Drosophila melanogaster: one gene and its partner. The protein of the gene in region 1 interacts with the protein of each later gene in a pairwise test. Each region holds a gene or a part of one and is shown on either strand. Other genes may lie near its edges.

Evidence for each region. Proteins that work in one complex are often made in the same cells at the same time.
Region 2: the proteins of CG9098 (region 1) and p130CAS interact in a two-hybrid assay, tested with the Drosophila melanogaster proteins (2 studies listed by BioGRID).

What each region holds. Positions count from the first base shown.
Region 1 is NT_033779.5:6,006,818-6,014,164, forward strand, and holds CG9098 (uncharacterized protein), read right to left. Parts: upstream 5,522-7,347; 5' UTR 5,420-5,521; coding exon 5,362-5,419; intron 5,295-5,361; coding exon 5,169-5,294; intron 5,119-5,168; coding exon 4,966-5,118; intron 4,910-4,965; coding exon 4,738-4,909; intron 4,417-4,737; exon of another isoform or gene 4,148-4,416; intron 3,854-4,147; coding exon 3,496-3,853; intron 3,424-3,495; coding exon 2,428-3,423; intron 2,373-2,427; coding exon 1,938-2,372; intron 1,686-1,937; coding exon 1,279-1,685; intron 1,221-1,278; coding exon 1,091-1,220; 3' UTR 547-1,090; downstream 1-546. Other genes in the region: H2.0 (homeodomain protein 2.0), read right to left, coding at 6,438-6,680, 6,783-7,279.
Region 2 is NT_037436.4:151,084-156,018, forward strand, and holds the start of p130CAS (p130CAS), read left to right. Parts: upstream 1-1,800; 5' UTR 1,801-1,987; coding exon 1,988-2,221; intron 2,222-4,935. Other genes in the region: Dic61B (dynein intermediate chain at 61B), read right to left, coding at 1-707, 765-986, 1,040-1,189, 1,258-1,314.

The sequences.
Region 1 (7,347 bases):
GAGCACAATGTCAGGGTAATGGCTGGTGGGCAGTGGACAGTGAGTTTGAGTTATGGTTTGGATGGCCAGCCTTGGGAACTTTGGACGCGCCTTTCCTGGTGGCCCGATAAGGCCTGTTGGTCGCCGCTGGAGTGGCTGATAGTGCTGTACATTTCGCCGGCTAATCGGTATTCGTTTTGAATTCCTCGTTGAGATATTTTCCATCCGCACAAGTGCTTTTCCAGCTTATAAGTACTCCAGAGTGCCGTAATGTTAATCGACGTGTTTGCTGATTGGGCTAATTAGGCTAAGATTTGGTTGACATTGCTTTTTCTATAAGCTATTTACGGTCCCCCTAAGTGATGTCCAATTTTTGAAAGTCATTACGAAAGTTAAAAATATAAGAATCTTAAAAATACCCGTAGGGGTCTTTTACTTGATTTTAATACTTAATAATAATAATAATAATCATAACCTTTGTGTTGAAAATATGAATTTAATGCGAAGTAAAGTCTGCAAGCATTGTAAACCAGAGGTCGGAAACCTCTAAAGAGATAACATTCATTTGGGTTTAAGTAGTTTCTTTATTGTTATCATTATCTTTACATATACAAAATTGCAAAAATTATGCATTCATTGCGTTATGCCTATATCATTTTGTGAGAGAGTATGTTTGCTTACGATGTTTTTTGTTTTTTTTTTTTTTTTGATTAATGTATATTGTCTCTTCTATAGTCGAGTAAGTTATTGCATAGAATAAATAATGGGATTGGTAAGTAAATACAAGACTTTGGTAGTACATCAGAGTGAGGTGGCTCTTAAAGAGTTTTTCCATAAAAATATGATAACTAGTTCGTTTTGCATACGCGTACAATACTAAATTTAACTTAACTAAGGATTAAACGGTATTTGAACTGTAACATAAAGTGCTTTTGTGTTTCTGCTGAAATGATATATGTATACTCAGGCTGAGGTAGAGACAGCACGAAATTTAAAGATGCGGAGGGTCTGGAGACATTGTGGATAGTAGATAGGAGGTCCTGGCATAGGTTCGCTTTAAGTTAGTTCATTTGATATCGGCCAGAAACTTAAGTCCATATTATTTCACAGCTTACTGCTCGGCCATCATGCAAAACTTGTCGGCCATCAGGGTGAGCACCTTTTCCAGTTTGTTGTGCCGATCTTCGGCCTTGGCCGTTGCTCCGGAACTGCCCCATAGGAACTTGACATGGAACTCGGTTCTGTGAGGATATGGGAAACTTGAGGAAGACTCGAGAATAGTGTATTCTATCATATTACCGAAAAGCATCAGCTAGAAGCTCATCGAGCCGAGGACTAGCATCCTCCAGGATGATCTTGGCATTCTTTCGATACAGTTCCAAGTTCTTCAGGAAGCCACGCGATGCATCCAGGTGCTGGAAATTAATGGTCATGCCAAAGTCATCCGCTTTCGACTCCCAAGGAGCAATACAGGTGTGGTACAGAGCTGGGCGATCGTCAATGTTGGAGTGGTTTATGATGTCCATAACGGGTCGATCGATCAGTAGTGCATACAGCAGAACATGGGGAACGGTTGTGTTTGGAGCCTGTGGATTGGAGGCCTCGTTCATGATGCTCAACGTGGGTCGCAACTTGGCCTCGAAGGTGAAGGCGCTGTCCGTGTACTGTTGCCTCAGGATGTGCCAGGCCTGGTCGAGCTTTTGGATCTGAAAGAGGTGGTGGGACAATCGGTTATGATGTATCGCTCTAACAATGTAGCTTAATGGTTTGCAAACAAGTTGCCAAACTGCTAATTGCTCACGTGTGATTAACTGTGATAATAAAAAGATCATCTAAATCATCACTCGTTTGCTAAGCAAAAAACTGTGATGACCTAATGTACTTGTTTATACCTCTCGGCGTTAAACTAACTAAAAAGTAATTTGTTTTAGTGTACACTGCACCGAACGAGTATTCACCTGTTGCATGCACAGGCCCAACATGATGGCGCAGAATCCAAACAGATTGCCGAGAGCCGTCTTAGTTTCCACTGCGATCTGAATCCATTTACTGAGCAGTTGGGCTCGGTCCAGATCCGTTTGACAGGTGAGTATGGTCACAGCGACCATCAGCTTGATGCACTGCGTCCGCTCTATTATGTCCTCCCTAAAGACCTTTCCATGGGGCAGTGTTAGCAGCTCAAGACCCGAACAGCTCAGATAGTAGTCCTCCTCGTTCGACGGCTCCTCCAAAAACAGGGCAATGTCGATGCGAGTGATGTGCTCCGCCAGCAGCTTTGGGCCCGTCTCCAGAAGCATCATCTTGAACGTGTTGAGGGCATCGCCATCCAGGGGCTTGTTCTCCACAGATGGCAGTAGCAAAGTAACAAAGTTCTCAAAGTCAAACTTGCTTGCCTAAAAACGCAAATAAATGGTAAAATTAAGTTTTTAAAGCTAGCCTTTAACTTACTGTTTTAACTTCTTCTATGGCCATGGTGAATAGTTCTTCCTCAGCGGCCAGGACGTCGAACTCCGTGAAGCTCTTCAGCGTTCCGTTCGAGACCGAAGTGGTCATGAATCGGGGATTCTTGATTATCACACCCCGCTGTACGCTCGCCTCACATGCATCCCCTAGAGCCGAATCACCGGACCCGTTCCCCGAGTCGGATCCACTGGCCTGGTATGCCAGCACCGCTGCCATGGGTTCCTTGCGTGGCTTGGGCGGCGGACTGGGCGGCCGTGAGTCCGACGGCGAGTCCAGGCTGCAGTTTCTCGCCAGGCTCGAGATTCGGGCCACCGCTTGCTGGCGCAGAGCGTGCGCCGCCGAAGTGTTGGGTCTGGGCAGCGAGTGGGTTGTGAACTTGCTCTCCAGGTGCTGCTCACTGGTCGGATTGCACCTGGCGATTGTCTGGAAGCGCATTATTCCGTTGCCATTGCCATTCTCGAGCTCCTGCATCTGTAGTTGTTGCTCCTGAAGCTTGTTGATGTTGCTGACCAACATGGCCTGGGCCGGTGTGAGGCTCTGGGAGCGCTGTTGCTTCTTGCACGGCAGCCGCGGCGGTGGAGGCACCTCTCTACGCGCCCGCGGCGGCGAGCAGTGCGGACTGGCCGGTGAGCCAGCCATCGGCGAGAGCTGTTGCTGCTGCTGCTGCTGCGGTTCGAAGCGAAAGGTAGCGTTCATACCTGCTCCCACTGCACCATTGCTGCCCATCGGCGAGTTCAGAGGACTCAGACCTCGCAGACCGGCCAGCATCTGCGTGTGCAGTTGGTTGCCCACGATCTTGTGGCCGTAGAAGGAGAGCGGATAGGTGCGATTGCAGGGAAACTGAATGAGCGCTCCCGATGCTGACGAGATGGGCTTGCCGGATCCCACGTAGAAGGTAATTAGGTCGGGCACCGTATCGAAGGCATCCTCCTCAAACTGGTACTGCACACGTTCGTAAACCGTCTCCGGTTGAAGCACCAACTGCAATGCATAACCACATCAGATACTACTTGGTAAACTGGTACTCCAATGCCAAGAACAGTGCGAACCCACCTTATTAAGTACGAAGTGCAGTACAGCCGCTTTGCTCCGGCAACTGAGCACATAGTTGTCCGGCTGGGAGGCGCAGTCGCGGACCAGGAAGTCGCCTTCGCGCTGCACGATCTCCTCGGCCCGCTGGCGTGGCAGTGCGCCGTGGTACCAGGCGTGGGAACGCAGCTCCCTGGCGTCCAAACTCAGCTCCCACTCGAGCGCCTTCTTCAGGGCGATGGCCTCCTGTTGCTCGCTGGGACTGGGCTGGGCGGTGGCCAGCGGAGTGGTGGCATTGCTGCTCCCATAGCCCTCCATCCTGCTGTCTTCGATGGCCCAATGGGGACTGTTGCACTTGGAGCGCGGCCTCAGTTCCTCGTAGCTGTCAATGGAAAGACGAATGAGTGAGTAAATTTCCCTTATTTTGGGTAATTTTATAGTATCATAGGCCATTCCTCCCACAGGCGGCTTTGGGGAAATTTGCTCCCACAGGATTTGGTCCTTGGTATATGGACAACTCACTATATGTGTGAAGTTCAAGTGCAAAAAAAGAAGAAATCAAATTGCAGACCTAATGTTTTGCCATAATGAACTGAATGGAACTTCAAAAAACTTATATACCAACTAAAAGGATTTAGTTTTTTTAGGAAATCGACTTGCCTCTGTTATCACTCACCTGCTACGCCCATTTTGTAGTAGAAAATTTAGGACAGGACACACCCAAACCCAATTGTTCAGTAGTACGAAAGAACTCGATTCACCAGCTGCCTGAATAATACGATTTCTAAACAAAACTCTCCATTTGAAAATAGATAGACTTCACTAGCACAGAACTAGTCTCGAAAAAAAAAGGAGTGCAGTTTAAGGTCCTTCGTATTGTAGTAGTCTGAACTCCCTGCCGCTCGAATCTACTCTGAAAAGTTCACGGCAAAGGACTCGAGTGCGGTGCACTTTTGGGGGTTGGACACCGATTTCTGTGCACCACGCTACTCCGCGCAGTTTGTTTTGGGTTTTGTTGGAAAACTCTAAGGACGCCCGAAGTCACTTTTTTGGGAAATTCGCGGAGCATGCGCAGAGTCTATGTTATGATTGTCCATTGAGGGTAAAAAGAAATCTTGTGGATGTTGTGGAGGATGTTGAATATTTTAGTTTTAAAACTCCAACATGCCGGATGTGGTATACTTTTGCAACTATTATTAGCATAATATAATAGCATGGAAAATTTAAGAAGATTTTGAAGGGTTGAATTCTGAAATGCACACTTACATGGTGGAAGTCTCATCAAAGGTTAGTTGCTTCAGGACCTTGCCACTCTTGGTGGTAATCACGCCGGGTCCGCTATCGCCGCTTCCCGCCATATCTTGAGGATTCTCACCCAGATACACCAATGGACAGGAGTTCTTGCGCCGTGGCACTGCTCGCGGCGCACTGCTCATTGCTAGACAAGATACGAGTAGATAACTCAGTGGGGGGAACTACGTTTCACTGGCTTACCTTCCAGATTCATGGACTGCCTTCGCTTGGCACGAACACCCAGCAAACTGTTGACCATCCGCTGGCGATGGGCACCGCGCACGCCAAATTGCTTCAGCTCCTTGTCCGTGATGTCCACCACATCGTCCACGGTGCTGAACTCCTGTAGGTTTCCTGGTTAACATAACATACAGTCTCAATTGGGAACTGCTGATCATGCAAACCTTCGTACTGCTGCAGCTCCAGAAGGTCCAGCCACTCGCTTATGCTCATCCTAGAGTTGTGCACCATTACGGCCAAATCTTCGCGACGACGCACTGTGTTCGAGTACCGAAAGTTCCACAAAATGCCTACGAAGCGGTTACGAAATGTGTGATCATTATGATCAGAATCGGAAACCGTATTTTCGCCACTCACTGCTCCTCCGATTCGGCACTTGGCGGTTCTCCAGTTGTCGGGCTTGGGTGTTGCCCATGTTGCCCAGGCTATCTTTGCAAATCCAATGTGCAGATCTGAAAGATCTTTAAATTCTGGAGCAGTACCAAACACCTAAGCTGAAACTCAACCGCGCACTTCGCTTTGGGAAAAACAACTGAACGTGAGCAAATGTTGCCCAAACAGACTTCTTCAACTGAGCTGAAATTGCATATGTCATTCACCGACTGTTAAATACCCTAAAGGAATTACGCATATAATTATAAATCATATATGAACGTAAGATTGCAGCTAAAGTATGAGTAATATATATTTATTGTTTCTATTCTATTCTCTATTTAGTAATGTTCTTTAAATTCAGCTATAAATCGTTGTTATTTTTTTATAGTTTTCTATAATTTCAGCGGAGTCTTAAAGTAATTGAAAAAATGAACGAACTCAGCCAAAGAGACCGACAATGACAATAAAGCCCAAGTGAGTAAGATTTCAATGTCGTGCACCAACAATTTACCCTCACTGTTTTTCTAATTAGTGCTCTATATCCGCAGTGCCCCCTCCTCTCACTCCCCTGTCGCGATCCACCAACCGATCCGATCGTATTGGATAAACCCATTCGCACCCCCGCGCTTGACCAACTCACTCCAGTCGTATTTGCTCTGGCCATTCAGTCGCGTATCGTCTTTTATCGTTCACTTGATTAGAGAAGGTCTCCCCGTTGTCGCCGAGTTTCATATTCTGCTGATCGCAGCGGTATTTGCTTAATTAAAATTTCTGTTCTTGCCGCGTAGCATTGCGTATTTTTATAGCTTCATTCTATGGAATAGTGAATAATAAATTAATAATAAACCAAGCTGTGAATTCACAAGTTCATTTTACTAGAGAATTTATTTTAAATAGTTTACACATAAACGTTTAGATTATCTTACAGATTGAAATAATTTAAGTTCACTTTGTGCAGTATCTGTCTACTTTACATTACATTACAACTAGCAATGAAGGAATAAATACATCTACATGGCATTTTACACGTGTAAACGGAGCTATCTACATAGGCGGCTCTACTCCACCACATTGATTTCAATATTATCATCTTCGTCGGCCTGCTCGCTCAAATCCACACTGGAGCAGCTATCGGAACTGTAGTCGAGTGCCTCCTGGGGCGTACCATCACCGGATGGCGTGGATGTCTTGAAGACACCTCCGGATTCGGGTACTGCACTCGGCTGCTTCTCCTGGCCACTCTTCAGATTCTCGCGCGTGTGCCGCCACTTCATGCGACGGTTCTGGAACCACACCTTGACCTAATCAGGGTATAAAAATAATAATATATTGGTTTTTATAGAGCTATGAAAGGAGTCGAATGTGCAAATGTTAAACTATGAAAATCCCATCTTTTAACTAACCTGAGCGTCGGTGAGATTCAGTCGTGCCGCCAGCTTGCGGCGATCTGGCTTGGTGATGTACTTCTGCTGCTGGAACTGAATCTCCAGGCCCTTGCGCTGCAGATTCGAGAAGACGGCGCGAGACCAGGATCGCTTGCGCTTCCCATTGCTTCCGGCTGAGGCGTTGCCCTGGCCATTGCCACCTCCATGTCCATGTGCACCGTTCTGGGATGTGGCAGCGGCGGCGGCGGCGGGCGAGGTGGGCGCTATGTCCAGGAGCTGCTGCGGCGTCTTGCCCAGAAATCGCTGCTGCTGTTGCGTCAGCTGGAGGCTCGTGAGGCTGTGGAGCGGCGCCAGTAGCGCCGAGGCTGTCGTCGAGTTGTGTGGCGGGGGCTTGTGCTGCTGATGGAGGTGTTTGGGATGGTGCTGATGATGATGATGCTGCTGGTGCTGCTGCTTCTGATGTTGATGGAAGCGGAGGAGCGCATTGGTAGCCAGCGTGGGATAAGTGGGTGCGGCTGTTCGGGAATGGAATGTTAAAGTCAATTGGGAGATTCATACTTCCTTCATTAGCAATAACTCTTAA
Region 2 (4,935 bases), on another chromosome or scaffold:
GCCTTGCGCTCGTCTTTGCTGGGCTCCGGTACCAGCCGAAAGAGCAAGTTCATCGAGTAGACGTACTCGGCCTCCGCGTTCCAGCGTTCCACCTGGTCAAAGTTACGGAAGCGTCGTAACCCCGCCTCGTTTGTGTTGCTCGAGAGCGTGCGGCCCATGTACATGATGGCGTTGCGAAACTCGGGGCTCCGGAACAGGCGCTCTATCTGGCTGCTGACCTTGTCTTTTTCGGCAACGGCCTCGTCGTCCTCAAAGGTATCCGCATCCTCCGTCTGCGCTAGAGCCGAGGTCAGGTCCTTTACCGAACTCATAGTGGCTGTTGCGAACTCCTTGGTGATATTGTTCAGCGTGTCGTACATCTCAAAGTTGGAAACGTAAGAGCTGACGGTGGCCTTGGTTATGAGGATGGTGTTGACTGCCCGAGTGGTGAAGAGCAGAGTATCTGTCTGAGCGTCATTGTCTGAGCGCCGGCGAATTTTGCCTTTCCCTATTGTCAGATACTCGTAGTTTCGGTTGTCTCGCTCCGCATCGTCGCCCTCGGGCGATCCCTTGGCCACCGTCGTCTGCGTCTGGCTGTGAATTTCGAAGAAGTCAGACTTGCGTAAGGTGATCTTTAAAAAGGACTTGGTATACGGCTTTGGCTCGTACGCCTCTTCGAGAGCCTCAACAGTGCTGTACGGTTCCCAGTTAATAGTTTCATAAAGTATCTAGTGGAGAATGACGATTCCCGCTGGGATGATACAAAAAAGTTTATATAAACTTACCCCGTTCATCAGGTCGTCAATGGACTGCTTATTGCCGCCTATTCCGGCCCGAACACTAGACCGCGTGCGGGATCTGGTCGTGCTCTTCGCTACCATTGTAGTGAAGTTAGTCATTTGGTGCATGACATTTAGGTTGTACTTCATGAACTGCTCCACATAGGTGTCATCTTGGATCGACTTAGGTGTCATATCAACCTCCTCGCCATAGATCTTTTCCAAAACCTAAGGGGAGTTTGCAATTAGTGGTGGTGAGTTTGTAAGTCCTTTGGGTTCACCTTTATCTGAGATCGATACTGCAGGTCGGCAAGTGTTTCCACACTGTAATAGTGCGTAGTATCTTTCTTCTTAGCCTTAGACTCTTCGGCTTGTGTCTGATTAACCACCACGGACTTCTTTTTGAGTTCGTTGTCTAAGTTACTGGACCGCTTTTTGACGCGTGGGGAACGGTGTTCTATGTAAGAAGTGCAAATTAGATCTTCCAGTAATTACTTACTTTAAAGATACTCCCATTTTCTTGGCTAGTGACTGTATTTCTTACTGACGCGGACATGACTTGTATTTTGTTATGTACTCCTCTTGATTTCGTCCAAATTTTTAATGAGTATTTTGTTATTTTATTATTTTGAGGGCACTGGTTTCTGGTAATACATATGTTTTAACTGCTGATATAACTTTTTTTTACCAAACATTAGTTTCATAGTGTACTTATCTTTCTTTAAAGATTTAAAATGTAATCAAAAACTGAAATGCTTGGAAATCAATTTAAAAAATTAATATTGTGTAATATTAAATTTGAAGTTTAAAAACTCCGAATACCACGAATTTTTACCGTACGGTAACGAAAGGGCTTTGTGCTACTTAACAGGAGCACTCTCTTACTCTCCGTTTCCGTGAGCGTTTTTTACCGAGCTCCCCCTGCGCCTGCTCGTTAGATAATACCGAAATAAAGTTGTCAACCAAGCCACCCTCTGTGGGCGAAGGACGACCGGCTGCCTTTTGAGGTTGCATATGGTTGAGTTAGTTAGATTCGGAGTCGCCAGCCATGCAAACCTGGTTCACACTCGCGTCCGTAATCGTGCTTTTGTTTGGGATGTATTCCAATGTGTAGAGATTCGATTTCTCAATGTAGGTCTGCTTATTTTTTGGTACGCTCCTGATATGAAAAAAACTTGCGGCAGCATCAAAATCTAAAAGGCATCTAACCTAACAAGAGCTAACAATTAATGGAGTGTCAAAGTGAAAACCGAGTACCAGAAAACTCAATTAGTAATGTTGCAACGTACCATACTCTGCCCGAATCCCAAACCTCATCGGTTTTGGCCAAGCATCAGCAGCGACAGCTGAAAGAACCGCAACAGCCGCCGCAGTACGTTATAAATTCAGTGGCAATGCACGCCAAGACGACCACGGCGAACTCCATCACGGGCGGCACACTGCATCGGGCAAAAAGTGCGCAGGTACGTCCAGAATGTTATAAATTAAATGGATAGTATCCGAGGAAGTGGATCGAAGTAAAGCGATGTGATCGCGATGCTTATTGGAGGTAAACCTATTTGACAGGAATTGATATTGACTGCCAACTAGGTGCGCTTAATCGGTGGGGAAACTGGATTTATATATTTGTCCATGGATAATTCAAATCATTCATATTGTTTTTCGGTATCTCAAATCGTTCCGTTAAAAACTTTTGTGCTCTGTACAGGTGTAACAAACTCTTACTATTTTTTACATTTACTACATTTCGGCAAGTAAAATCTGTTACAGCCAAATTCATCGAACGACCCTCTTCCACACGCCATTGCCTGGTTCGACGCGAGTGCAAAAACGAATTTTACTCAGCGAAGCTACACAGATACATACAGATTATGGATACGCAGGGTGCGTAACGTAAACTAACGCTGTAATACTGTTTCTGCCGGCTAACCAAGCTGGGACGGCTAAGTGGCTAAATGGCTACAGGACCATCGGGCCTAAATGCAGCTTCATGGAGGCCGCATGCGTGCAGAGAGAATCGGGCGATGTGCCCATGTTATGTAAACATATTCGGCAGGAAGATAGGGCAGGGTGGACCTCGAGTCGTGACGAAGCAAAAGTCAGGGATCTGGCTAAGGCTGCTGGCTGACTGATTCCCGTGGAGAGTAAGGGTCGTCAGGTGGTGGTGGCTTCTGTGCGTCGCGTCATTCATCAGACGCTCCATGATGTGAAACAAATTCGCCTGGGGAGGCATTGGATGCTTAAGTGAGGTGCTAAAGTTAAGCTGCCAACTTCAATGATGTGGTACTTGACCAGCTACCGATTCAGAAATGTATCTTTTGATTTCGCTGTCAGTTCTACCCTTGTATATATGTATGTATGTATGCTTTCAATTTTATTTGCTCGCGAAAGTTGCTATACGATTTTTCAATGCCAATATGAGAACTGCTATCGACCTTGCCGGGGGTATGAACTTTCCGCAATTAAACCTCACCGGGGTGGTTGTTCTCTGTTCTTTTTCCCGCCACCGAACCACGCTTCGTTCTTTTCCTTAAGCAACATGTTTGGTTACTGAGAGCACTTTTTGCTGAATTTTTCCGAGTGCCGTGCTCCAAGAGCAAGTTGCTCGGAAACATCTGGAGGGTTTAATCAATCTTTGGTGTCCTGACGAGCCGCGAACAATGTTTTGTCAAGTACAAAGGAAGGGAAGATTCTTCTGATCTGATCTGTCATGATAATGGGATGCATTGAAAATGGCCCCAAAAAAAAACTGTTAAAGCAGAAGTTCGTAATTCTAAATCATTTTATGACGATATTGATATATATTAATATATATTTAAATTGCAAAAAGCCCCTAATCAACGTTTTGATGTCTTTTATCTGGCTACTGTGGCTGCCTGTACACAATTTAAAATTTTTGCTGGCACATTTTATTATTACAAATGGCACTTTGGAGAATTGTGTACCACGGATTTTGTAAGCGGCGCTCTAATGATTTATGAATTTATTCAATGACAATTGGCAAGTTGAGCCAAAGTGCTTTTAGCTGGTGAAGCGGACCGGTCATTGAGCCTCGGAACCACTTCATTCGTGGCTGGGAATTGAAATGCACAGAGGAAGAGTTTGAGTTCGCAGTAGTTCACAGTTAGTTCACTGGTGGCCGTCATAGGCGCCAACATATTTTGTTCTTGCATTTAAATTATGAGCTCTGCCATTATGCATCAATCGTTAATCCAGCGGCGGTTAAAAGCAGCACAAAAAGAAAAGACAGTATCTATAACCAACACAGAATAAACAACAATAAAGAAAGTGGAAAGCCGGGAAAAACGTGCGCTGAAAAGTGAAGAATTTAAGTGTACGTGTTGAAAATTCCTCAATTTGTTGTCTGAGAATGAGTATAATTATTTGTGTGTTTCCAGCGGTGGCTTTATTCACCGCGTTCTTTTCCCTGCTAAGACATATTCTTTGGTAACGTGACGGTAGCGAAACTATCTGTTATATGCACACAAAAATAACATTGTGCATCCTCAGTTTTAAGAACTACGTTTTCATGCGAAAATGGTTTTTGATTAAATAACTCCTTAAGTTTTATAGGACTTAAATTGGCAAGTCCAAGAAAAATCATGAAATCACACGCGGTTTCAAAAATCACTTAACCCTGTTGACGTAAATATTTTTCCAGTCCCAGCACTGGATATATCTTCTTTTGCAACATTCGTGCTGCACATGGCAAATATGTATATGATTATTGGTGTCTCGAAGAGATATATCCACTCATTCTAGTCGCCCGGTTTCCCACTCCTCTGAACTTAAAATAATTTATGCAGTTTGGGGACAGCTTTTCCTGGGCAGACTAAAGCGTTGCGGCATTCAATAAATTGCTCTTAAATTATGGAAATGCAGAGCAGCCGAGATTTATTGAGAAGTTTCTAGAGGTGGGGAAAATGTGTATTTTTGGATAGGCTGTATATACGTATTGAGTAAATTCCGATAAACTTAATGTGTATGTCTTAAACCGAAAGCATCGTCATTTTGAGATTATCATCGATCTATGAATACTATGAATTTTTCACATCCCAAATTCTGCCTTTATTGCTGACCCATTAATCCAAATATATCAGATGGCGTCGTTTATATCTCATTGCAGATCAATTGGGCTATTTGGTCGGAATCTTTTTGGTTTCGGGGTCGCCCACGT